2 linked regions of the Lonchura striata genome follow. The protein of the gene in region 2 purifies or fractionates together with the protein of the main gene of each other region. This does not show direct contact. Links are inferred from orthologs where the notes say so. Each region holds a gene or a part of one and is shown on either strand. Other genes may lie near its edges. The genes, in order: cyclic AMP-dependent transcription factor ATF-7 and FOSL2.

What was found.
Region 1: the proteins of FOSL2 (region 2) and cyclic AMP-dependent transcription factor ATF-7 purify together in Homo sapiens (affinity purification with mass spectrometry; 3 studies listed by BioGRID and IntAct, counting the BioPlex papers as one, with this or other methods). This does not show direct contact. The link is inferred for Lonchura striata from reciprocal best matches to the Homo sapiens genes FOSL2 and ATF7.

What each region holds. Positions count from the first base shown.
Region 1 is NC_134629.1:8,199,650-8,211,716, forward strand, and holds the start of cyclic AMP-dependent transcription factor ATF-7, read right to left. Parts: upstream 4,941-12,067; 5' UTR 4,888-4,940; intron 1-4,887. UniProt on the Homo sapiens protein: Stress-responsive chromatin regulator that plays a role in various biological processes including innate immunological memory, adipocyte differentiation or telomerase regulation.
Region 2 is NC_134605.1:6,833,935-6,846,143, reverse strand, and holds the start of FOSL2 (fos-related antigen 2), read right to left. Parts: upstream 5,200-12,209; 5' UTR 4,631-5,199; coding exon 4,532-4,630; intron 1-4,531.

The sequences.
Region 1 (12,067 bases), on a different chromosome or scaffold from region 2:
GAGCTCATGGCCACCTCCAGGAGCCCATGGTCACCTCCAGGAGCCCGTGGCCACCTCCAGGAGCTCCAAATCACCTCCAGGGAGCTCATGGCCACCTCCAGGAGCCCGTGGCCACCTCCAGGAGCTCCAAATCACCCCCAGGAGCCCATGGCCACCTCCAGGGAGCTCGTGGCCACCTCCAGGAGCCCGTGGCCACCTCCAGGAGCTCCAAATCACCTCCAGGAGCCCATGGCCACCTCCAGAGCTCCGAATCACCCCCAGGAGCCCGTGGCCACCTCCAGGGAGCTCGTGGCCACCTCCAGGAGCCCGTGGCCACCTCCAGGAGCCCATGGCCACCTCCAGAGCTCCAAATCACCCCCAGGAGCCCATGGCCACCTCCAGGGAGCTCGTGGCCACCTCCAGGAGCCCGTGGCCACCTCCAGGAGCTCCAAATCACCTCCAGGAGCCCATGGCCACCTCCAGAGCTCCAAATCACCCCCAGGAGCCCGTGGCCACCTCCAGGGAGCTCGTGGCCACCTCCAGGAGCCCGTGGCCACCTCCAGGAGCTCCAAATCACCTCCAGGAGCTCCAAATCACCTCCAGGAGCCCGTGGCCACATCCAGGAGCCTGTGGCCGCCTCCAGGAGCTCGTGGCCACCTCCAGGAGCTCCAAATCACCTCCAGGAGCTCCAAATCACCTCCAGGAGCCCCAAGCCCTGTGAGACCCGGAGCTCTGCCCGCCCCAGGGGCACGACCTGTGCCCGAGCCCGGCACAAACGCAGCGCCAGGCCCAAACCCCGGCAGGAATCCCTTCCCGTTGCCGCCAGGGCGGAGGCGCGGGCAGCAGCAGCAGCTCCGGGGCGATCCATCCCGGCCGTGCCGAGATCTACGGCGGCGCGGGGAAATAACTCAGCTTTACGGGAGCAAGGGGAGGCCTCGGAGAGCCGCTGCTCCGCGCCCGGCCCCTCATTACCCCGCGGCCGCCGCGGCCTCGGAGCGCGCAGTATTTTATACCTCGGAAATGCCTGAGCGACCCAGAAACTGGAGTCCCATTTCCTGAAATTATTTCGCCACTTCAGAGCCCTTGTTTCAATGAAAGCTGCTGCAAACGAGGCACGAGAGCCCCGAGCTGAGCTGGAACATATTTTCCCTGCCGATGTGTGTGGATGGTTTGAAGGGAAGAGCAAAGTCAGGGCTGCGAGGAGCGCGGGGTGAGAGCGAGCGCCTCGACAAAACCCTGCCCGTGAACCCAACAATGGGGCCAGGGAGCCCCACAGTGCCCTCCCCGTGCCAAAAACCTCCTGTGGCACCTGGCATTATCCCATCCCACCTTCGTTCAGCTTTCGGGGGGTTTTGGGGTGCCGCTGTTTGATGCACGAGCCCTAAAAATCTGAGGGGACAGAGAAATGCTCCAGGGTCTGCAGAAATGGATTGCAGAAAGGGATTGCAGAAAAAGGAGTGCAGAGAAAGGAGTGCAGAGAGCCCAGGTGCTGCAGCCACGGTTTGAGCTGTGCTTTGTGGGCAGCAGAGCCCCCATTCCCGACAGGAGCTCCCAGAACTCCAAGTGAAGCTTCACGAGATGGAGCCACCAGCATCCTAAAGGGATCCTGCGGGTTTTGGGAACAGGGAGATGCCAAAAAAACGGGAAAACAAAGGAAAGGTGAGGGACAGCCCCAGGAAAAGGGGGAGCATCCATTGGGAATTCCTCAGCACCTCCAGTGTTTCCTCCCTGGCTGCAGTTTGGGAAATCTGGCCTCGGTTCACAGAGCCAGGAATGGGAAAAAAAAGAGGGGAAAGAAAAAGAAGTGGGGGAAAAAAGAAGGGGGGAAAAAGAAGGGGGGGGAAAAGAAGGGGGAAGAACTAAAAAGAAAGAAAAAGAAGGCCCCAAGAAAGTCCGAGGATAAATAAACCCAAGCAGAGGCGCAGCAGCATCACGTGGGACGCGGCAGAAAACGAGTCCAAAGCCAAAGGCAAGGCAGAGCTCCTTCCCTGACACCCAGAACGGCGCCGTGGGCACGGGCCTGGCCCGGGGACCCTTCCAGCCCGGGGATCCTTCCAGCCCGGGGATCCTTCCAGCCCGGGATCCTTCCAGCCCGGGATCCTTCCAGCCCGGGGATCCTTCCAGCCCGGGGACCCTTCCAGCCCGGGATCCTTCCAGCCCGGGATCCTTCCAGCCCGGGGATCCTTCCAGCCCAGGACCCTTCCAGCCCAGGGACCCTTCCAGCCCGGGGACCCTTCCAGCCTGGGGACCCTTCCAGCCCAGGGACCCTTCCAGCCCGGGGATCCTTCCAGCCCGGGATCCTTCCAGCCCGGGGATCCTTCCAGCCCGGGGACCCTTCCAGCCCGGGGATCCTTCCAGCCCGGGACCCTTCCAGCCTGGGGACCCTTCCAGCCTGGGGACCCTTCCAGCCCGGGGACCCTTCCAGCCCGGGACCCTTCCAGCCCGGGACCCTTCCAGCCCAGGGACCCTTCCAGCCCTGGCCCGGAGCGGCCCCAGCCCGGCCTCAGCACGGCCTGCCTTGCCCGGGATGCTGCCAGCAGCTCCCAGGGTTATTCTTTCCTCTCCTCCCCAGGACCAGCAGCTCCCAGGGTTATTCCTTTCCCTCCTCAGGACCAGCAGCTCCCAGAGTTATTCCCCAGGACTTTGAGCAGCTCCCAGGGTTATTCCCCAGGATGTTCCAGCAGCTCCTGGGGTTATTCCTTTCCCTCCTCAGGACCAGCAGCTCCCAGGGTTATTCCCCAGGATTCTGAGCAGCTCCCAGAGTTATTCCCCAGGACTTTGAGCAGCTCCCAGGGTTATTCCCTCTCCTCCTAAGGACCAGCAGCTCCCAGGGTTATTCCCCAAGACGTTCCAGCAGCTCCCAGAGTTATTCCCCAGGACTTTGAGCAGCTCTCAGGGTTATTCCCTCTCCTCCTAAGGACCAGCAGCTCCCAGGGTTATTCCCCAGGACCAGCAGCTCCCAGGGTTATTCCCCAGGACTTTGAGCAGCTCCCAGGGTTATTCCCCAGGCCGTTCCCCCCCTCAGCAGGGACACCGCAGCCCCAGCCGGTTCCTCTCTCGGGTTCCCCATTTCCCAGCACGAGGGGGATTCCCACCCCACATCCCCCCGGAATCCCCCCTGCGCCGGCTCGGGGGTTTGGAGGGAAGGGGAACAGCGGCAGGGATCAGGGATCGGGAGTTGCCTCCCAGCAGGGACCCCCGGCCCTGCCCCGAGCAGGGAGGGTCCCGCGCCCGCCGGGTGGGCAGCCCCGAATTCTCCTGCTCCCAGAGATCCCAGGGCTCTGCTGCACAGCCCAGGGATGCAGGAAAACACAGACAAATCCCGGGAAAAGGCTGAAATTCCCAGTGGAACAACCCGCGGGTGTCCCACGGCTCAGGAGCACCCCGAAACCAGGAACTTTTCCACAGGAACGGGGCGGGTTTGGGGCTCCCAGAGCGACTGCGCCCCGAAACCCACCCGGGCACAGCAGCAGGGCCAAAACCCCGTAGGGAGCGGAGCCAGAGAGACCCTGGCACAGAGAGACCCCTCCCCACCACAGAGACCCCTCCCCACCACAGAGACCCCTCCCCAGCACAGAGACCCCGGCACAGAGACCCCTGTCACAGAGACCCCTCCTCACCTCAGAGACCCCAGCACAGAGACCCCGGCACAGAGACCCCTCCCCACCACAGAGACCCCAGCACAGAGACCCCTCCCCACCACAGAGACCCCTCCCCACCATAGAGACCCCGGCACAGAGACCCCCAGCACAGAGACCCCTCCTCACCTCAGAGACCCCAGCACAGAGACCCCTGTCACAGAGACCCCTCCCCACCACAGAGACCCCAGCACAGAGACCCCTCCCCAGCACACAGACCCCAGCACAGAGACCCCAGCACAGAGACCCCTGTCACAGAGACCCCTCCTCACCTCAGAGACCCCCAGCACAGAGGCTCCCCATGGAATCCCCCTCCCTTGAACCCCCCACCCAAAACCCCTGCAGGCGCTGCCCCTGTTTGCACCCCGAGACCCCCAGAGCCCCCCAGCCTGCAGCTCCCTGCAGAGCCCCAGTCCCCCGGAACCCCGGGGCTCCCCTGAGCCCCCAGACCCATTCCTGGCTCCTCTCAGCCCCCAGCCCCATTTCGGGGTCCTATCAGCCCTGAACTTCCCCAGCCCCACTCCTGGCTCCCCTCAGCCCCCAGCCCCATTTCGGGGTCCTATCAGCCCTGAACTCCCCCAGCCCCACTCCTGGCTCCCCTCACCCCCAGCCCCACTCCGGTTCCCCTCACCCCCAGCCCCATTTCGGGGTCCTGTCAGCCCTGAACTCCCCCCGCCCCACTCCTGGCTCTCCCAACCCCACTCCTGGCTCCCCTCACCCCCCGCCCCACTCCGGTTCCCCTCACCCCCAACCCCATTTCGGGGTCCCCCCGCCCCACTCCGGCTCCCCTCAGCCCCAGCCCCATTTCGGGGTCCTGTCACCCCTGAACTCCCCCAGCCCCACTCCGGTTCCCCTCACCCCCCGCCCCACTCCGGTTCCCCTCACCCCCAGCCCCATTCCCGGCTCCCCCCGCCCCATTTCGGGCTCCCCTCACCCCCAGCCCCATTCCGGGCTCCCCCCGCCCCGCCCGGGCCCCTCGCCGCCGCGCGGCCCCGCCCCGTGGGCGGGGCTTTCCCGCCTAGCGGCGCCCCCCTCTGCCGCCATTGGCCGGCGCTCCCGCCGCTCAGGGGCGGCGCGCGCCGCGATTGGCCGAGGCGCGCCGCCACTCAGCGCGGGGGCGGGGCGGGCGGAGCCACGGCCGCACGAAAACTCGGGGAGAGTTGTGGGGGGAGGGGCCGGCCGCGGCTCCCGCCGCCCCCGGGGCCGCCCCGCCGCCGCCGCCGCCGCCACCGCCGCCCCCGGGGCCGCCCCGCCCCGCCGCCGCCGTTACCTGAGGGAGCCGGGCCGGGCCCGCGCGCCGCCGCCGCCGCTCGCGCTGGGGCCGCCGCCGCCCCCCCGCCCCGCGCGCCCGGCTCTCGCGAGAGCCGCGCGCAGCTAACGGCGCCGCGGCCAATGGGGCGCCGCGGGGGCGGGGCCTCGGCGGCGAGGGGCGGGGCTGCCGCGCGGGGTGGGCGTGGTCAGAGACAGGCCCCGCCCCGGGGCCCCGCGGGGAGCGCGACACGTGCGGGCAGGGGCGGGACCGGGACAGGCCAGGGATAGACCGGGATAGAGCCGGGACAGAGCCGGGACAGGCCGGGATAGAGCCGGGATAAACCGGGCTAGAGCCGGGATAGAGCCGGGATAGACCGGGATAAACCGGGATAGAGCAGGATAGACCGGGCTAGAGCGGGATAGACCGGGATAGAGCCGGGACAGACCGGGATAGAGCCGGGACAGACCGGGATAGAGCCGGGATAAACCGGGATAGAGCGGGATAGACCGGGATAGAGCCGGGACAGACCGGGATAGAGCCGGGACAGACCGGGATAGAGCCGGGATAAACCGGGATAGAGCGGGATAGACCGGGATAGAGCCGGGACAGACCGGGATAGAGCCGGGATAAACCGGGATAGAGCGGGATAGACCGGGATAGAGCCGGGACAGACCGGGATAGACCGGGATAGAGCCGGGATAGAGCGGGATAGAGCGGGATAGAGCCGGGATAGAGCGGGATAGAGCCGGGATAGGCCGGGATAGAGCCGGGACAGAGCCGGGACAGGCCAGGGATAGACCGGGATAGAACCGGGACAGGCCAGGGATAGAACCGGGATAAACCGGGATAGAGCGGGATAGACCGGGATAGAGCCGGGACAGACCGGGATAGACCGGGATAGAGCGGGATAGACCGGGATAGAACCGGGACAGACCGGGATAGAGCGGGATAGACCGGGATAGAGCCGGGATAGACCGGGATAGAGCCGGGACAGAGCCGGGATAGACCAGGATAGAGCCGGGATAGAGCCGGGATAGACCGGGATAGAGCCGGGACAGAGCCGGGATAGACCGGGATAGAGCTGGGATAGAGCCGGGACAGACCAGGATAGAGCCGGGATAGAGCCGGGATAGACCGGGATAGAGCCGGGATAGACCGGGACAGAGCCGGGACAGAGCCGGGATAGACCAGGATAGAGCGGGATAGAGCCGGGATAAACCGGGATAGAGCGGGATAGAGCCGGGATAGAGCCGGGATAAACCGGGATAGAGCGGGATAGAGCCGGGATAGAGCGGGATAGAGCCGGGATAGACCCGGGACAGAGCCGGGACAGGCGAGGGATAGACCGGGATAGAGCCGGGATAAACCGGGATAGAGCGGGATAGAGCCGGGATAGAGCCGGGATAAACCGGGATAGAGCCGGGATAAACCGGGATAGAGCGGGATAGACCGGGCTAGAGCGGGATAGAGCGGGGATAGACCAGGATAGAGCGGGATAGACCCGGGATAGAGCCGGGATAGACCCGGGACAGAGCCGGGATAGAGCAGGATAGACCGGGATAGAGCGGGATAGACCGGGATAGACCCGGGACAGAGCCGGGATAAACCAGGATAGAGCCGGGATAGAGCCGGGATAGACCGGGATAAACCGGGATAGACCGGGATAGAGCCGGGATAGACCGGGATAGAGCCGGGATAAACCGGGATAGAGCGGGATAGAGCCGGGACAGAGCCGGGATAGAACCGGGATAGAGCGGGATAGAGCCGGGACAGAGCCGGGATACACCGGGATAGAGCGGGATAGACCCGGGACAGGCCAGGGATAGACTGGGACAGAGCCGGGATAGAGCCAGGACAGGCCATGGATAGACCAGGACAGAGCCGGGACAGAGCCGGGATAGACCCGGGATAGACCCGGGATAGAGCGCGATAGACCCGGGACAGAGCCGGGACAGGCCAGGGACAGAGCCGGGATAGAGCCGGGACAGAGCTGGGACAGAGCCGGGATAGACCCGGGATAGACCTGGGACAGAGCCGGGACAGGCCAGGGATAGACCGGGATAGACCCAGGATAAACCGGAATAGAGCGGGATAGGCACGGGAGAGACCGGGACGGACCCGGGACAGGCTGGGACAGACCCAGGGAAGCCCCGGGGGTCTCTCAGTGCCCCCCCCGTCTCAGCCGCTCCGTGTGCGCATGCGCGGCGGGGCCGTGCGCCCCCTGCCGGACGGGAGGACCCGGGCCGGGGGGCGGGGCCGGGGGCGGGGCCGCGCGCGCCCTCTGGCGGGAACGCGGAGCAGCGCACGTGAGCGCGCCTGGGGCGGGGGGGGTGGCACCGTGTCCCCAGGTGTCCCCAAAACGTCCCCAGGGTGTCCCCAAGATGTCCCCAGGGTGTCCCCGTGTCCCCAGGTGTCCCCAAAATGTCCCCAGGTGTCCCCAAGATGTCCCCAGGGTGTCCCCAGGGTGTCCCCGTGTCCCCAAGATGTCCCCAAGTGTCCCCAGGTGTCCCCAAGATGTCCCCAGGGTGTCCCCAGGGTGTCCCCGTGTCCCCAAGATGTCCCCAAGTGTCCCCAAGATGTCTCCAGGTGTCCCCAAGGTGTCCCCAAGGTGTCCCCACCGACACTGCCACTCCCCCTTGGGGACACTGCCACCCCCCTTGGGGACACTGCCACCCCCTTTGGGGACACTGCCACCCCCCCTTGGGGACACTGCCACCCCCCTTGGGGACACTGCCACCCCCCCCTTGGGGACACTGCCACCCCCCCTGGGGACACTGCCACCCCCCCTGGGGACACTGCCACCCCCTTTGGGGACACTGCCACCCCCCCTGGGGACACTGCCACCCCCCTTGGGGACACTGTCACCCCCTTTGGGACACTGCCACCCCCTTGGGGACACTGCCACCCCCACCCTGGGGACACTGCCACCCCCATTTGGGACACTGCCACCCCCCCTGGGGACACTGCCACCCCCCCTTGGGGACACTGTCACCCCCTTTGGGACACTGCCACCCCCCTTTGGGACACTGCCACCCCCTTGGGGACACTGCCACCCCCTGTCCCCTCCCCGGCGGCGCTGCTGCGGCGGAGCCGTCCCGGCCGTTAATTAAAGCAGGGCGGTAATTAACGGCCGTTAACGGGAGCCCGGGGCCGGGGGGCTCCGGCCCAGGGGGGGACCCCCAAACCGCGGCCCCGGGACCCCCGGGCCCCCAAATCCCCCCAGCCCCGGTGCCGCCCCCTCCCCTTTTCCAGTTTCTGTTTCTCCTTTTCTCCTTCCTTTGTTTCCTTCCCCATTTCGGCCGCGGCTCCGCCCCGAGACCCCCGGAGCCCCCCAAGACCCCCGAGACCCCCGGAACCCGGAGCCCCCCAAGACCCCCGGGACCCCCGGAACCCCGGAGCCCCCCAAGACCCCCGGGACCCTGGAGCCCCCCAAGACCCCCGGAGCCCCCCAAGACCCCCGGAACCCCGGAGCCCCCCAAGACCCCCGGGACCCCCGAACCCCGGAGCCCCCCAAGACCCCCGGGACCCCCGAACCCCGGAGCCCCCCGGGACCCCCGAGCCCCCCGGAGCCCGGAGCCCCCTCCCCAGTTTGGGCGGCCTGGGGGAAAATGGGGAGCACTGGGAGGGGCTGGAGGGGACGGGGATGGGGACAGGGATTTGGGGGTTCTCTCCCAGGATTTGGGGGTTCGGGGACAGGATTTGGGGTTCTCTCCCAGGATTTGGGGTTCTCTCCCAGGATTTGGGGGTTCGGGGACAGGATTTGGGGTTCTCTCCCAGGATTTGGGGTTCGGGGACAGGATTTGGGGTTCTCTCCCAGGATTTGGGGTTCGGGGACAGGATTTGGGGTTCTCTCCCAGGATTTGGGGTTCGGGGACAGGATTTGGGGGTTCGGGGACAGGATTTGGGGTTCTCTCCCAGGATTTGGGGTTCTCTCCCAGGATTTGGGGTTCGGGGACAGGATTTGGGGTTCTCTCCCAGGATTTGGGGGTTCGGGGCCGGGGCCGGGGCCGGGGCTCCCTCCCCCCGCACTGCGACGGGAAAATCCAATCCCGCAGCGCGAGCGGGGAAAGATAAAAAATAAAACCGGGAATAAAAGCCGGGAGCGAGGCGGGGACAGCGGGAAAGGTCACCCGGAGCTTGGGGACACGAGGGGACACGAGGGGACACGAGGGGACAGTCGCAGCCCCGGGCTGACCCCGGCCCTGCCGTGCCTCAGTTTCCCCATCCCAGCTCCCTGCCGGATGTCCCGGGCGAAAATCGGGGGGAAAAAAAGGGAATTTGGACCTGGGAGAGGGGAATTTGGGGCTGGAAAAGGGGAATTTGGGTCCCCAGTGTCCCCAAATCCCCCAACCCCCCAGTGCCCCCCGTGCTGCTCGGGGCTGTCCCCGGGTGTCCCCGGGTGTCCCCAGGTGTCCCCAGGTGTCCCCGGGTGTCCCCAGGTGTCCCCAGGTGTCCCCGGGTGTCCCCAGGTGTCCCCGGGTGTCCCCAGGTGTCCCCGGGTGTCCTCGGGTGTCCCCAGGTGTCCCCGGGTGTCCCATGGGTGTCCCATGGGTGTCCCCAGGTGTCCCCAGGTGTCCCCAGGTGTCCCCGGGTGTCCTCGGGTGTCCCCAGGTGTCCCCGGGTGTCCCATGGGTGTCCCCAGGTGTCCCCAGGTGTCCCCAGGTGTCCCCGGGTGTCCCCAGGTGTCCCCGGGTGTCCCCGGCTGTCCCCAGGGTGTCCCCAGGTGTCCCCGGGTGTCCCATGGGTGTCCCATGGGTGTCCCCAGGTGTCCCCGGGTGTCCCCGGCTGTCCCCAGGGTGTCCCCAGGTGTCCCCGGGTGTCCCATGGGTGTCCCATGGGTGTCCCCAGGTGTCCCCAGGTGTCCCCGGGTGTCCCCAGGTGTCCTCGGGTGTCCCCGTGTGTCCCCGGGTGTCCCCAGGTGTCCCCGGGTGTCCCCAGGTGTCCCCGGGTGTCCCCGGGTGTCCCCAGGTGTCCCCGGCTGTCCCCCCAGGTGTCCCCGGCTGTCCCCGTGTCCCCGTGTCCCGTTTGTCCCGCGGGGAGCGCAGCCGCGGGAAGGTTTCCATGGTAACGGGCGGAAAAAAAACCCAAAAAAAACAGAAATATGGAAAAAATACAAAAATCCCAAAAAAGCCCCAAAAATCCCCAAAAGCCCGAAGAGCCGCGCGGGGCGGCGGCGCCATTTCCATCGGCACGGGAGAGAAAAAGGAGCAAAAGGAATTGCGGAGGGGGAGGGGAGGGGAGGGGAGAGGGGGGAGGGGAGGGGGGGAGGGGAGGGGGGGAGGGGCGCCCCTCGCCCCCCTCGGGCCCTCCCTGGCACGGGCCGGGCACGGGGAAACTGAGGCAGGGGAAGGAGAGGCAGCCCCGGGAGGAAGGACGGGCCCAGGGAGGGAGAAATCCCTTTTTCCCCCTTTTTTTCCCCCCTTTTTTCCCCCTTTTTTCCCTTTCTCCCCCCTTTTTTCCCCCTTTTTTCCCCTCCTTTTTTCCCCTTTTTCCCCCCTTTTCCCCCTTATTTTCCCCTTTTTTCTCCATTTCCCCCCCTTTTTCCCTATTTTCCCTTTTTTCACCCTTTCCATTTCCCCCCCATTTTCGCCCATTTCCCCCTTTTTTTCTCTTTTCCCTGCCTTCCCCCTTCTTTCCCCTTTTCCCCCCACCTTTTCCTCTTTTTCCCTCCTTCCTTCCTTCCTTCCCACACCTCAAACCCCAAAAATCCCCCCAGCACCCAAATTTTCCCCAAAAAACCCCAATTTTCCCCTGAAAATTCCAATTTCCACCCTCAAAATCCCACTTTTTCCCCCCCCAAAAATCACGGTTTTCCCCCCCAAAATCCCAATTTTCTCCCCCAAACCCCAATTTCTGTCCTGAAATCCCGATTTCCCCCCAAAATCCCGATTTTTCTGCCTCCTCTCCCCTCTCCCGAGCAGGAGGTGAAGCCTCCGCCGAGCCCGGCCCGGCCTCCGATCCATCATTTTTATTTCCTGCTCTAAGTGACAAATTGTTCCGGATTTTACACCGATCCCTCCAGGCACGGGGGGCTGCGCATGGCATTTTTTCCTTTTTTTTTTTTTTTTTCCTTTTCCCTTTTTTTTTTTTTTTTTCGGTTCTACCTCGGAAAGAAAATAAGGGGGAAAAAATATATATATATAGCCATAAAAAGCGAATAATAAAATAAAAGATCCCCGTTAAAACAACCCAAAAGCAGCGCCGCGCTGGTAATGAGCACCGCAGAGAGGCTCCATAAACCGCCGGGCAGAATTCCCCACCCCAAAATCCCCTTTTATTGCCTCAAAACCGCCGGGGCAGAATTCCCCACCCCAAAATCCCCTTTTATTGCCTCAAAACCGCCGGGGCAGAATTCCCCACCCCAAAATCCCCTTTTATTGCCTCAAAACCGCCGGGGCAGAATTCTGCCGCCGCCGGCAGGTGCAGACACCCCAAAAATCCAATTTATTCCCCCAGAAAGCGGCGCTGCTGCAGCTGGAAAAAGGGAAAAATCATCATTTTTATCAAATCTGATTTTTTCTCCGTTTTTGCCATGCGCAGCTCGGCTCCGCTGCTGGAAATCCGCGATTCCAGCGGGATTTGAATGTCTGGGAAAAGGTCAGGAAATGTTCCTTCCCCCGGGCTCCATCCCGCGCTATTTATTCCTCCCGGGAGGAGCCGCCGCTGATGCTGAAATGCTGAAATCCGCTGCTTTGGGGGAAAACCCATCAAATTCAAAATAAATGGTAAAAAAATCCCATTTTCCTCCTTTTTTGGCTGCTGGAATCCACTGCTTTGGGGGAAAACCCATAAAATTCAAAATAAATGGTTAAAAAATCCCATTTTCCTCCTTTTTTGGCTGCTGGAATCCACTGCTTTGGGGGAAAACCCATAAAATTCAAAATAAATGGTTAAAAAAACCCGATTTTCCCCTTTTTTGTGCTGCTGGAATCCACTGCTTTGGGGGGAAATCCATAAAATTCAAAATAAATGGTTAAAAACCCGATTTTCCCCCTTTTTGTGCTGCTGGGAATCTGCTGCTTTGGGGGAAAACCCATAAAATTCAAAATAAATGGTAAAAAAATCCCATTTTCCTCCTTTTTTGGCTGCTGGAATCTGCTGCTTTGGGGGGAAATCCATAAAATTCAAAATAAATGGTTAAAAACCCGATTTTCCCCCTTTTTGTGCTGCTGGGAATCTGCTGCTTTGGGGGAAAACC
Region 2 (12,209 bases):
TTAAGCAGGCGGGGAAATTACACAGAGAGGATGACACTGATACTAAGACCTTGGCAAAACCCACAACAGCACCTCAGAGATTCACTTGGAGCTTGAGTCCAACACAGCCTCAGCTCATCCCACATTCCAGAGTCCATGTCGCCTCCCCCAATTAGTTAAAGAGGCTCCAAGACACAAACTGTCAACACTATAGAATCAGAATTTATGGGTGCAAATCCCCTCCTTTGCTCTGCATGGTGTAGGCTGTGACCACACGGCACAGAAGAGGATGCATTGGTGCCTCCATAAGCAGAACACAAGAGGACCTTAACCTCACAGAAGGGAGGAAGTGCGAGACCAGTTGAACCACAAGCTCAACTCAAGGGATGTGAGCCCTACTTCCAGATCCGCAAGTGGCTTCTACCACCACCATTACCTATCTGTGCCACCCTCCCTTTCATATCCAAAAAGCAGAGAAGAAATGTCCTGTCTTCCTTGCAGGGACACTACAAAGCTATGACTACAAAACATCCAGAGAGCTTCTGGTGCTTTGCAATAGAGATACCACTGGCATTCCAAAGCTAACCTTTGCCTCCAAACACTCAATGTGCTAAAAATTCCCAACAGAGGTTGTGAGTCAGATCCACCATCAAATCAACCATGTACAAGCATCTGACACAAAAATCAGGCTCCAAATATTGACTAAGCAAGTACTCCATTTCCAACCACGCCTGTATTCAACCTAGGGCCCTTCTGTAACACTAGGAGAGGTTTTTGAACAGCAAAGGGGAGCTGCTCAGTTCAGCCACATCCCTCTGCAGCTTCACAATGCTTGCTTGCAGACCTGGGGGAAAGAGACTAGTTCCTCCCTGTGCCATGCCCCATCTCTGTCACCAGCTTCCCTTCTAATAATTCAAAATATCTTAGAAATAAAAAAATAAAAAAAATCCCCCAAACCTGTACTCTGTACTTTCCAAAAGCAGTATTTTTCCTGGATAACTAATTAAGGGACACACTGCTGTGGCAGGTGGAGTCTTCAGACACAGTGTGCTCAGTCTAACACCAGGTTTAACAAGCATTGCTTCCCTGACTGATCAGGCTTTCCACACATACCTCACTTTCCCTGCTAGGACACTGCACCGGATCAGCTCTGCTGTGCCAAAATGCTGCTGAGCCCCACATTCTGCCCAGCAGCCATCAGCTCCGACCTTGGGATGCTGCTGGTTGCAGTGGCATGCCCTGAATTCCCTGTCACCTCCCCAGCACAGCCCCTTTGAGCACCAGCCTCCTCACACAGAAGTGCCAGAACTTCCCCCAAACAGCAGCCCCATCTTTGCTCTCCTCGCCCCTCCTCCTCTCAGAGAGCTTCAATGCCCCTGCCAGCCTGACAGCACTGCCTGCCTTCACCCACCTCCCCACTTCTTCTCTTTCCAGACCCTCTCCTGCCTCCTCCTCTCACAGGACATGCACAGCTGTCCTCTCCTGACCCACGAGAAGCTCCTGGAAGCAGGTCTCTGCCAGCTCTCAGCTCTTCTTCTCTACAAGGAATTCAGTACGCTACAGAAAGATGAGGCGATAGGGAGATTGCAGGGCTACACACGCAGCACGCGCTCAGCCGCCAACCCACCGCTCTCCTCCTGACCCCAGCAAACACACATGAAGGTATCATTAAAAAACCCCAACAACTAAACAGCAAACAGAAAGAGTCCTGTTATTAAGTGTGCCAAGAACTGAGGTCAGTCTCTGCTCTGCCTTAAAAATATGGGGTTGGATGAGAGCCTTCCTTCTCAGATCCACAGTCGGGGGAGGCTCCAGCGAGTCCTGCCACAAGCAGGGACAGCCTATGTTAGCAGCTCACAACTTAGCAGCACAGACAGCATGGGGACATTTCAAGCTTTGGCTTTGTGTTTCCTTGCTCCACCTTAAAGTTTCCGTAGAGCACCCCGATGTGTTCTTTGGTCCACTGAGAAGCACTAGAAACCCGTCAAGAAGTTGGTATAATGGCTGGGGGAAAAGAAGAATCAAACCCAACAACAAAGCGACTGAGAAAAATTCTAGAGCATCTTCAACATTACTCAGTTGTCAAATAGGGTGTATGTGATAGATCTTACAATAAATACAAGACCCTTGATGGGTCTCCTATGTTGAGCAGCTTATCAAAGGAAAACTGGACACAATGCTATAATATCTCAGGGGAAACTTGACCACTCTGAAAGAGTACACAAACTCTACCCATTAAAGTCTATGTTTACCACATGGCAAGTCAGTGATTAGGAAAATAGCATGACACGCAACTTAAAAGAAAAATGTTCCAGTGCTGTGCTCTATGGGAAAAAATAATTAAAAACCATCAAAGTTTTGGCTCAGAGACATAGTTTCCATTTAAACATGTGACTGATGCATCTTTTCTTGCTTTTGGGAGAAAAAAAAAGAGAACACAATAAAGAAAAAATTTCAGCAATGCATATTTTCTGTAGTGATAAAACTGCAGATCTCCATAGACCAGAATCAGCAGAACAGCCCAACTGCTAGGGTAAAGGCAACGCTTACATTTGATCCTAATCTACAACATCTGTAAGGATCAAGGGAAAGACGGAGCACAAGGCCTTAAGAAATCTCCCGGATTCTTAAAGAAAACATTTATGTTCTCGCTAAGCCAACGTCCTGCTCAAAGTCCTGTTTCAGATAGTAACCCTAGAAACTGGGCTCTGGTCCCCGTATCAGCACGCACGCCAGCTGCCCGGGGAAGACGTGGAGCCCCAGAAAAAGGGGAAAACCCAGTTATTGCTCAGCCTGTGACAGCTCAAATGTGAAGCGGTTGATGGAGTTTCTCGACCTCCCGCAGCAAGTGCTTGAATCCAGAGCAGCTGTTAAATCACGGCAGGAAAGGGAGAGTGAGAATTTTGCAGTTTGCCGGGCGTTTCCAGCTTCTCAGTCCCCTTTCCCGCTCCCCCAGCCTGTCCTAGCGTTTACTGTAAACCAGGGAATAAGCTTTAGCTGAGCTAGAATCCCTGGAAACCCAGGTCCGCAGCCCGCAGAGGGCACCAGCGAGATGCGTTTGGAGCAGGCGGGGAGCGGCAGCGAGTCATTTCTGGTAAAACTTCTTTAATGTGAGGAATGTCACGGGCTGGTACGGCTGGCAGAGTTTAAGACTGGACTTTTTTCCTTCTTTTTTTTTTTCTCTTTTAATTATCCTATGACTCCCTGATGTGAAGGCTACACTGCGCTCACAATGCCAGTTCGCTCATACAAGCCACAGAAGAAATAATATTATGAGAAAAAGAAAAAAAGGGGGGGGGGGGGGGGGTGAGAAGCCCAAATCTGAAAAGGCAAAAAAAGAGTGAGGCTGGGCCAGCTGATGTAAACAAGTTATGAAATAACCCAGGTTTGTATAACTGGCCCGATTGTGTAATGCCTTCCCCAGAAGTGGTAGATTTAGTCGATCTAGGCATATAAGTAATTTCGAGGTATTTTCTTAGGAAAATGAAAGGGAAAAAAACCCAAACCACAAGACTGGGCTTTCAGGTCCGTGAATTCACGCCGCTTCCACAGGAAATATTCCCCATTCTCGAAGCGCCGCCCGGTAGTGGGGCTTGAGCGGGGAGCGGGGCCGGGGAGCGCGGGGAACGCTCCGGCGAGCCCCGGGAAACTCCCGCTCGGAAAAAGCCAGGGCCGGCCGGAGAGCGGCCGGCGGAGCCAAGGGGCGGGCGGGCAGAGGGCTGAGCACGGCGGCCGCGGGGTGCCAGCGTGGGCCCCGTGGCAAAGAGTGTCAGCGCCTCGGAGACAAACTTTAACGGGGGAGAAGCGGGCAGAGACAACCGCAGGCGCTGGAAAGACCCAGAGCTCACTTCCAGCTATCCTGCCGTGTTGCACGGCGGCTGCAACAGCTCCGTGAATAACTCGGGCGGCACCTCCCAAAGTCCCAGCGAAGCCGCCCAAAGTGCTGCGGGCGAGCCCCGGGCACCACCCGAGGCAGCCGCGATGAACGTGGACAGCGAGAAGCTCCCAATGAGAACAAAAGCAGGAAGGAGGAAGAGTTCGGTGCGCCCCTGTATTCGCGTTACCGACCTCGCAGAGAAGTCGCCCGCGGTAGCCCTTTGATTGCCGAGCGGGTCCCGGCCCGGCGCTGCGGCGGGTGCCCGGGCTACAGGCGGGGGCTCGGCTACGACACCCGGCGACCCCGCTGCACCCGGGGCCGCGCCAGCGGAGCCTGCCCGCCGGGCGCTCGTCACCGCACGTCCCCGCTCGGCCAGGCCGTGGCTCCCACAACACCGACAGGCGGGGAACTCCGCTCAGCGTCCCTCCGGACGCGTCGCGGCACCGCTCCGGGGCGGGAGGGAAAGCGGCGGCGCCCCGCGGAGGGCGGCGGCACGGAGCGGCGGCTGCGGGCAGCCCCGCGCCCCTGCGGCCGCCGCCTCTCCGCCGGGCGCCCGTGCCTGCACCGCGGAGGAAGCGCCGGCCGCTCCCCGGGCGTGGCGGTGAACTCCCGTCCCGGGAGCGCTCGGAGCAGCCCTCGGAGGGACCGGGGGAGAGGGGCAGTGCCCGGCCCTACCTGCTGTGCTGCGCCGCTCGAGTAGGTCTCGGGGTGTCCCGGGGAGCCGCTGCTGCCTCTGGAGGAGGTGTCGAAGTTCCCGGGGTAGTCCTGGTACATGGTCCGAGGTCGGGCCGGGGGAGCCGCGTCCCCGCCTTCCCACACCGACACCGCCGCTCCCTCGCCGTCTCCCCGCCCCCTTCTCCCTCCCGACCTCGTCGGCGGTTGCCTTTCGCCTCCCAACGCTCGCCGCGGAGAGGGAAAAAAAAAATAATAAAAACGGCTTTGGAGACGAGGAAGAAAGTGGGGGGAAAAGGTAAAAAATTTAAAAAAATTAAAAAAAAATAAAAAGGAAAAAATTTAAAATAAAGAGAAAATAAAAATAATAACAATGATGATAAAAGTGGCTCAGTTGGCAGCGAGCGCCTGCGGGACGGGACGGGACGGCAGGACTCGGCGGCGCGGCGGGAGCAGAGCCGTGCGCGCAAGCGGGCGCTCGCCGATGTCCTCTCTCCGCAATGCCCGGCGAAACTCGCCTCGCCGGCGGAGCGGCTCCGGGCCCGGGGGCTGCAGGCGGAGCGGTTCTCCTCCGCCCCAACAACCTCCTCCTCCTCCTCCACCACCACCACCACACACCGGCCGCCCCTTTTCCCGGCGCGGGGTGACTCAGCCGGGTCTTGCGCCCCGCGGCTCGGCGGCGCTGCGAGCGGGAGCTCCGCGCGCCCGCGGTGACTCAGAGCAATGGCATCGCCCCGGCCGCGCTCGCTTATTATCCGCCCGCCGCCGCCGCCGCACCATGTGCACTCGCACACGTCAAACCCGCGGCGCACCTCGGCAGCGCGGAGCCTCCCACCTGCCGCCGCGGCGGGGGAGGCGGGCCGGCCGCGGGGGGACGGCGCCCGCCCCGGCCGCGCCCGCCGCGCCGCCCGCCCCGCCGCGCCCGCCCCTGCCGGGCCCGCGGTCCGGGCGGCGGGGCAGGGCGGGCGCGGCGGCGGGGGCAGCGCGGCGCCCGGTTCCCGGCAGGCCCCGCCCTCCCCCGCCCCGCTTGGTGCCGTCCGCTGTCGCACGTTGCCAAAAATGGTCATTTGCGTCGCACGACGCGAGCGCGGGTTTCCTTGCCGCGGATGACGCGCTGCGAGAGGGATTCCCTGCCCGGCCGCCGGGATTTAAAGGCACAGGCGCTCCGCTGGCGCGGGGAGGCTGCGGGGAACAGCGCGGGTCCGACCCCGTAGACCGGCCCGACCCGCCTCGGTGTCTCGGGGGGCTTTTGATCCAGCCCTTCTCCCTGCAGGAGGGTGGTCGGCACCAGAGTTGCCCCAGGGCTCGATCCGTTTCTCAGAGCATCAATAAACCGAGCGTTGGACTCGTCTAGTTTTTATAGCATCGTTAAACTACTTCATTTATTTATTTTATTTATTTATATATATTTTATTTTTATTACTTTACATTTTTAATATTTTACATTTCTATTATTTTGCATTTTCGTGGTTATTACTTCTATAATTTTAATTTCTTTTCATTAACTACATTTTCCTTTTGTTTACTAATATTGTGCACTAATATTTTTAAATTTCTCTTTAATTTTAAACTATTCTTCCTATTTACTTTTCATGTAAATTTTTATTATTTTCATTCGTATTCAAATTTGATAACTATTCTTACCTTTCCTCCCTCCCCCCCCACCCCCCTTATTTTATTTTTTAATTATTTAATTTTTACTTTTTAAGTGGACACCTCCATCCTCCTAGGATCTGCAGAGCCACTCTAGGTCTCCAAACCAGAGTATGTCACAGGGACATCAGGTGACAGCCCCGGGCTTCCCTGCAGCAGAAACCCGTGGGACAAGGACTGTCCCAGCCTGCCGCGGCTGGCTCTGGCATTGCCAGGTCACTGACGAGCACAGGCTGAAAGGTGGCAGAAGCAGATAGAGCAGAGCCAGCACACACAGAACGCGGGCTCTGTGCTGATCTGCAGCGAACACAGCAGATTGTTCAAATGCCACTCCTAGACACAAAGTGTCTCATTTCCACCCTCCCTGGAGGATTTGCCCAGCACTGGGCAAGTCCTTTTTGCTAGTAGGGAGGGAGAAGTCATCTAAGTTCAAGCTATAAAATCCCATTTAAGCTGTCTCACGGACAAGGTATTTTCCCACAGGAGCCCATCTAAAAGCAGCGGGCTTTCCTCCACTCACACTGTGCTCCTTGGAAGGCAGTAGCAGCACCCATCTCAACCTTGGAGCCTTCAGGGAACTCTGAAATGAAACACCCCATGGGGGTTAAGTCCTCAGCACTTAGTTCTTTTTTAGCACTGACTTAGGAATTTGGGACTGAAATTCCTGCCGATGCGGTTTAGTTTTCACACCTTCATTATTCAGGCAATTGAAATTGTCCCTCCAAAGTAGCTGGCCTATTTCAGGCAGCACCTGACTTTGGAGGAGGTGGGGAAAGGGCTGTAAAAATATACCCATGTTTCCAACTCGAACTGCACTAGGAGTGAGGGGTGGGGAGGGGGAGAAGTGCTCTAGCAGGCACAGTGAGGCCGTGATGTGTTTTCCCCTTGGGTGGCAGGTGATCTTCACATGCTGCTTTCTGCTGGAAAGAGAATTACTTTGAGATGTGCGAGGAATCAGGCTGCAGTTGTCAAGAGATGAAGAGAGAAAGGGTAAAACAAACATCAAAATAAATAAACTTAACAAAAGCTGTGGCTGGCTTTTGGCTGGTCATCACCCTCTGCTCTGCCTCCCCCTCAGGTGAAGGATGCTGCTGGCTCTGAGGCTTGCCAGATTTTAGGAACCACTGCCTGAGCTCATCAATCCTGGCTCTAGTCCTGTTTCACATCAGGCTGGTGGGCTTGTAGAATCCAGTCTGCTGATCAGCAAGAAATGCAAGAAAAGTATTTGGTGTAGGGAAAGAGTGATGGCCAGAAACACGGAAGCAAGATGGGGGTGCTGGAACATTAGTGTTGCAGCATTTTGCAAGAGGAAAAGAGAGGTGTTTTTCATCCCTCCTCCTAGAATTGTTTCTATACTTTGTCTTCAGCAATTCATTAACCCTAAACTACCTGCCCTCCTCATGTTTCAGCTCATGCTCATTTTGAACGTTGTTTTCAAACCTTATCCCAACATAATTTTGGCACATCTATCCTGTCCTGCAAAAATTTGCATTAGACCTAGTCTGGGAACAGCTCGTTCGAAATGACATTCAAGGGCTGTTTTAATATTTGGCTGCAGCTAATGTGGATGCAATTAGTTGACACTTTTAAATCCTCAGGTAAAAGCCCTGTAAGAAATGCAGGAAGCTGAATTCACACCTGAGGCCAAGCCCTCAGCTCCTGTAGGGTGATGAACCTCCCTGCCGCAGCTGGACTGGCACCACCTTGCCTTCCGAAAGCTCCTGACCCACACCCATCATGTGATGCTGAAGCTTTATTGTGTATTTACATTGACTTCACTGGAGTTTCTTCTGCCCTGGGAGCACAAAACCCTGCTGGCTAAGACAGGCTCACACGTACAGAAGGAATTGGTACATCCCATTGGTAAAAAATATTCCATCCGATTGAGTCCCCTCATTCCCATATCAGCCCCTTTGTAATACTTTTTATTGTTTTGGATTGAAATAACTCAGACTAGCCTGGCTCTCAGTACCCCAGACACATGCATTTTTAATACTCATCCAGACCAAGCTGCATTGTGCAATAGGCTCCCTGCTTCCAAAAAACAAGAGATAACATGTACGCCTGCCTAGTCCATTCTTGCCTGAACCAAAGACGAATTAAGACCAGCCCAGGTTCCAGGGCAGGAGAGGATCATTGTAAGGCAAATGAGACCTTGGCTCCTCACGCTTCTCGATTTCGGCAGCAATTAGGAGCCTGAAACCCAGACCTGGGAATGCTTTTCAGAGTGTTTTTTACGGGAATAGTGGATAAGGGCACTTCACAGCAGCTTAGACTTGGCCCTCGGCAAGCACGTGGCGGGTTGTAAGCATCTCTTCTCCAGCATCCCCAGCACTGCTGGGCTGCCCCAGCCACCCCGTGTCACCTGCCTGAAGGCAAGATCATTGATTTTCAATTTAAAATATATGCAGCCACGATTCTCCTTCTCCTTGCTCTTCTTCCAACCCTTAAGACATCTCCCGTGAAGAAGCCTGCAGTAATCACTTCACCTAAAATGTGTATTGCCACCCGTGTCAGAGAGCTCGGATGTGCTGGGGCTGTTCCTGCAGTGGGGCAGGGAAGCTTCTGGACCGAGGGGTGGCTGCAGGAGAGTCGGGACTGAAGCACACTGGTGGGGTGTGGGGAGCTGCAGGACAACCTAAGACAAATCATACTCTTCTCCCCGTACAATTCCTCATGTCCTGTTTTAAAATTCACTCCCACCTTCTTGCAAATCGGTGCTTTCTCCGTCACCGTTCATTTTTACACAAGTGACTCTTTTGTTTCCTGAGACCTTTTCCTCGAGCTTTCTGCAGAAGCACATATCCAGGGCTCTCCAGCCCTTCCTGACAATTCTGCTTTCATCTGTGCGTTTAGTCTGCTTTCATATTGTCTCTTTAAGTGCTAAGAGCAAGTGTTTTGATGTTAACTCCTGGGAACGAGCTCTTAAGCTACCACCTCATGCTTAATTACAGTTATTTATTAAGTACTCCAGCATATCCAAGGGAGAATGGAGGTTTTCTCCTTCAAAGGGCTTCTGCATGTGGTTCCTCAAACACTTCTTGTCAAGGACAGAGCTTTTCCTATCCATGTCCTCTTGGACCATGGAGCTCTCTCCCCTGCTGATTACCCCAGGCACGGGGCCATGGGCCTCCCCACAGCAGCACAGCGTATCTTTAGGGCAGGGAGGCACTCCCCTCAATTGTTCTCAGGTGACTGCAGCCTCACTGTCCCTGTGTTCAAGCAGACAGCTGGCTCTGCCCCACATTCCCAGCAGGATGAGTGCTGCCATACTGTCCAGTTCAGGGTAATGACATCAGTGCTGCTACCCTTAACTGCTGCCGGGTGATGTGATGGGCATCATTTAACTCTTTTCCAGTCCTAGTTCAAATAAAAGCCTAGGACAAAGCCAGATGCTGTGAGGCTCTTCCCTTTTCTGAAGCAGGGCTGGGTGACAGGGCCTGGGATACAGATGGGGAAGCAGCAAGGCAGTCCTGCAGCAGGATGGGCACCAGACGCCCCTAGCACTGCTTAGTCAGGCTGGTGGCATGGCCATGGTGTGGGAGCAGCAGCCAGAGGTCCCTGCTGGCTCCCACAGGGTCAGCTCTGCAGAGATCCCAGACACCAACAAGGCCAAACTACTTCAAAGCAGAAATGGCTTCAGCCTTCTTAACATGTTCCAGGACAAAGATCCTACCAACCCACAAAGTAGCAGGTGCAAGACACGGATTGGGAACAAAGGCTCATTAGGGGTGACCACAACGCACAGTTTACGGCATTTTGCTGGTGTAGGGAAGCAGAAAACAGCTTCAGGAGATCCCTGCCTTTGAATGAACAAGCTTGCTCCTAGCCCCAGAGTACATGGGATGTGAGAGATGGGAACAGAGATCCCACGAGCCTAGCTCTAAGACACCTTTTGGCACAAGATGAACAGTCTTATCTTGATACCTGTGTTTGTTTGCCCAGCTCCAAACCTGTTTCAGCAGCGTGAGAGTCTGCCTTGCCCCGCTCCTGCCTCCTGCAGAGACACCACCTCTGGTACCAGAAGCCAAACAGTCCAACGAGGCTCATCCACTCTGCAGCCCCCAAAAGATCCCAGGCAGTGCTGCCAGCACAGACCCAGCAGGAGGTCTTTTATGGGATGGGAGCCCTGCCCCGTGGAGCTTGAACATGGATTTTTCCCATTGTCCTGTCTGGTAAGAGACTTGAACGTTTTCTTGCTGTATTTTGTGAACGGAGCCTCACAATCACATTTTCTTGTGTCAGAGCAGTGGAAAGGACTGCAAAACTACCTTAGGAGTAGAAAATCCCACCCCTGCCAGTGCCCCCCACAGCTCAGCAGGACAGATGCTGAGGACTTCTCACCTGAAGTGCCCATGCTCAGGTGCAAACACGAGCAGGCCACAGCCATGCTGCGGAGGGGCACCCAGCCTGTGCAATTGCAGCCTGGGATGGTGGGATGGGCTCTGGTCACCATCCATGTTTCCAGAGTTTCCGAGGTTATTCCCTGAAACACGTGGTGCAGGCCAAGTGGATCACCCAGCTGAGCTTATCAGTCAGCTCATTGTTCCTGCCTGAGTGATTCAGCCCCACCAAAGTGCTCCCTGGCAGCACAGCACCCAGGAGGAGGATGAGGAGGAGGAGGGAGGTGTGCAGTGCACACAGATAGTTCTCCTGATAGTGGGAGGCAGATAAGCACAAGGAACTTAATGGCTGAGCTCAGATCTAGTTGAGGCAGTTTGACCTTTCTGCTGGTAAGCCTGCCTTCAGCTGACATGACAGGCTTTGACACAAGCACTCAGGGGAATTTGTGGCCAATAAGTGAGACTTACTTTCCCCACCAAGTAATATTGATTAGCTCAGTGCCTGCAGACACAGCTTGAGGCAGTGGCGGAGGTTTCAGGGAGGGAGCAGAAGAGACAGCTGAAACGCAAAGGTAGAATTATTTGTTGACTGAACCAGCTAAGTGTCCTTTCTGTCTCCTACCACAATGACCTGTGCACTGCTGAAAACCTTGGAAGAAGGGAGAGTCTTTCCAGTCTGGGCAGTGGCACTGGAGCTGGCTGGTGTCCCCATATGGCCTGGCTCATCTCCATCCCATGGGTGTCCGTGCAATCCAGTGCCTCCTTCCATCTTCCTGAGCCACTTTGTCCTCTGGCATCCCTGGAAAAGAAACATCCATTAGGAGCACTGATGGTTTCTTAGAATGTGGGCATTTAGAACTGAAAACAGACCAAGGATACATCTGAGCACCTGGGAGGGGCTTCTTCCTCTCTTGCCGTCCAGGAGAGGCTCTGGTCCAGCAATCACTCTGTAAGGGTGGCACAGGACTGTGACACCAACCCCAGGTGTGTGCAGCCTCGCTCCGGGAAGCAGTGTGGTGGCATTCCCCTTTGGCTGAGGTCCCCATCCCCTGCAGACCGGTGGTCACTGCTCTCCGTGAGCCTGGTGATTCCAAGCTGGCTACAGTGTTATAAGTCACTATGGAGCATGGAGTGGTTGGATTTCAGCTTCTTGCTGCCTTGGACATCTTGTTGGTGACATCACGAAGCTGAAACGGTGTTCACACTGCAGAAAGTGGCTGCCTGGAGTCTGGTAACACTTAAGTACCAGCAGTACTCACCAGATTCTCTGGGACATGCGGTGGAGATTGCTATTATGGGGTGTTACCTTTAAAGTCCTAGTCTAAACACCTTCTGTAATCAACTCCTGGCTTGGTCAGGGATGCAGAATGGGGTTTTTGAAAGCAGCAGAATGTCAGGAAAATCCACAAAAGCCAGAGGTGAAAAGCTGCAAACACCAGCGGTTTATGTCTAAAATGGAGACAGAGTCCTTCAACTTTATTCGACTAAAGGGAGAGGCCACCGGGGTACACACCCGCGGGGTTTTCTCCCTCGAGGTTTTGGAGGGTGCAGTCTCCATTTATCCTAACTCCGGGCCACATGTTGCCCTCTTCCTTTCCCCACTGGCTGAGGTACTAGGAAGGTACAGCCTTCCCGAACCACCTAGCACATATTCCCCCCTTGAACTACTATTTTATCCCAAAATT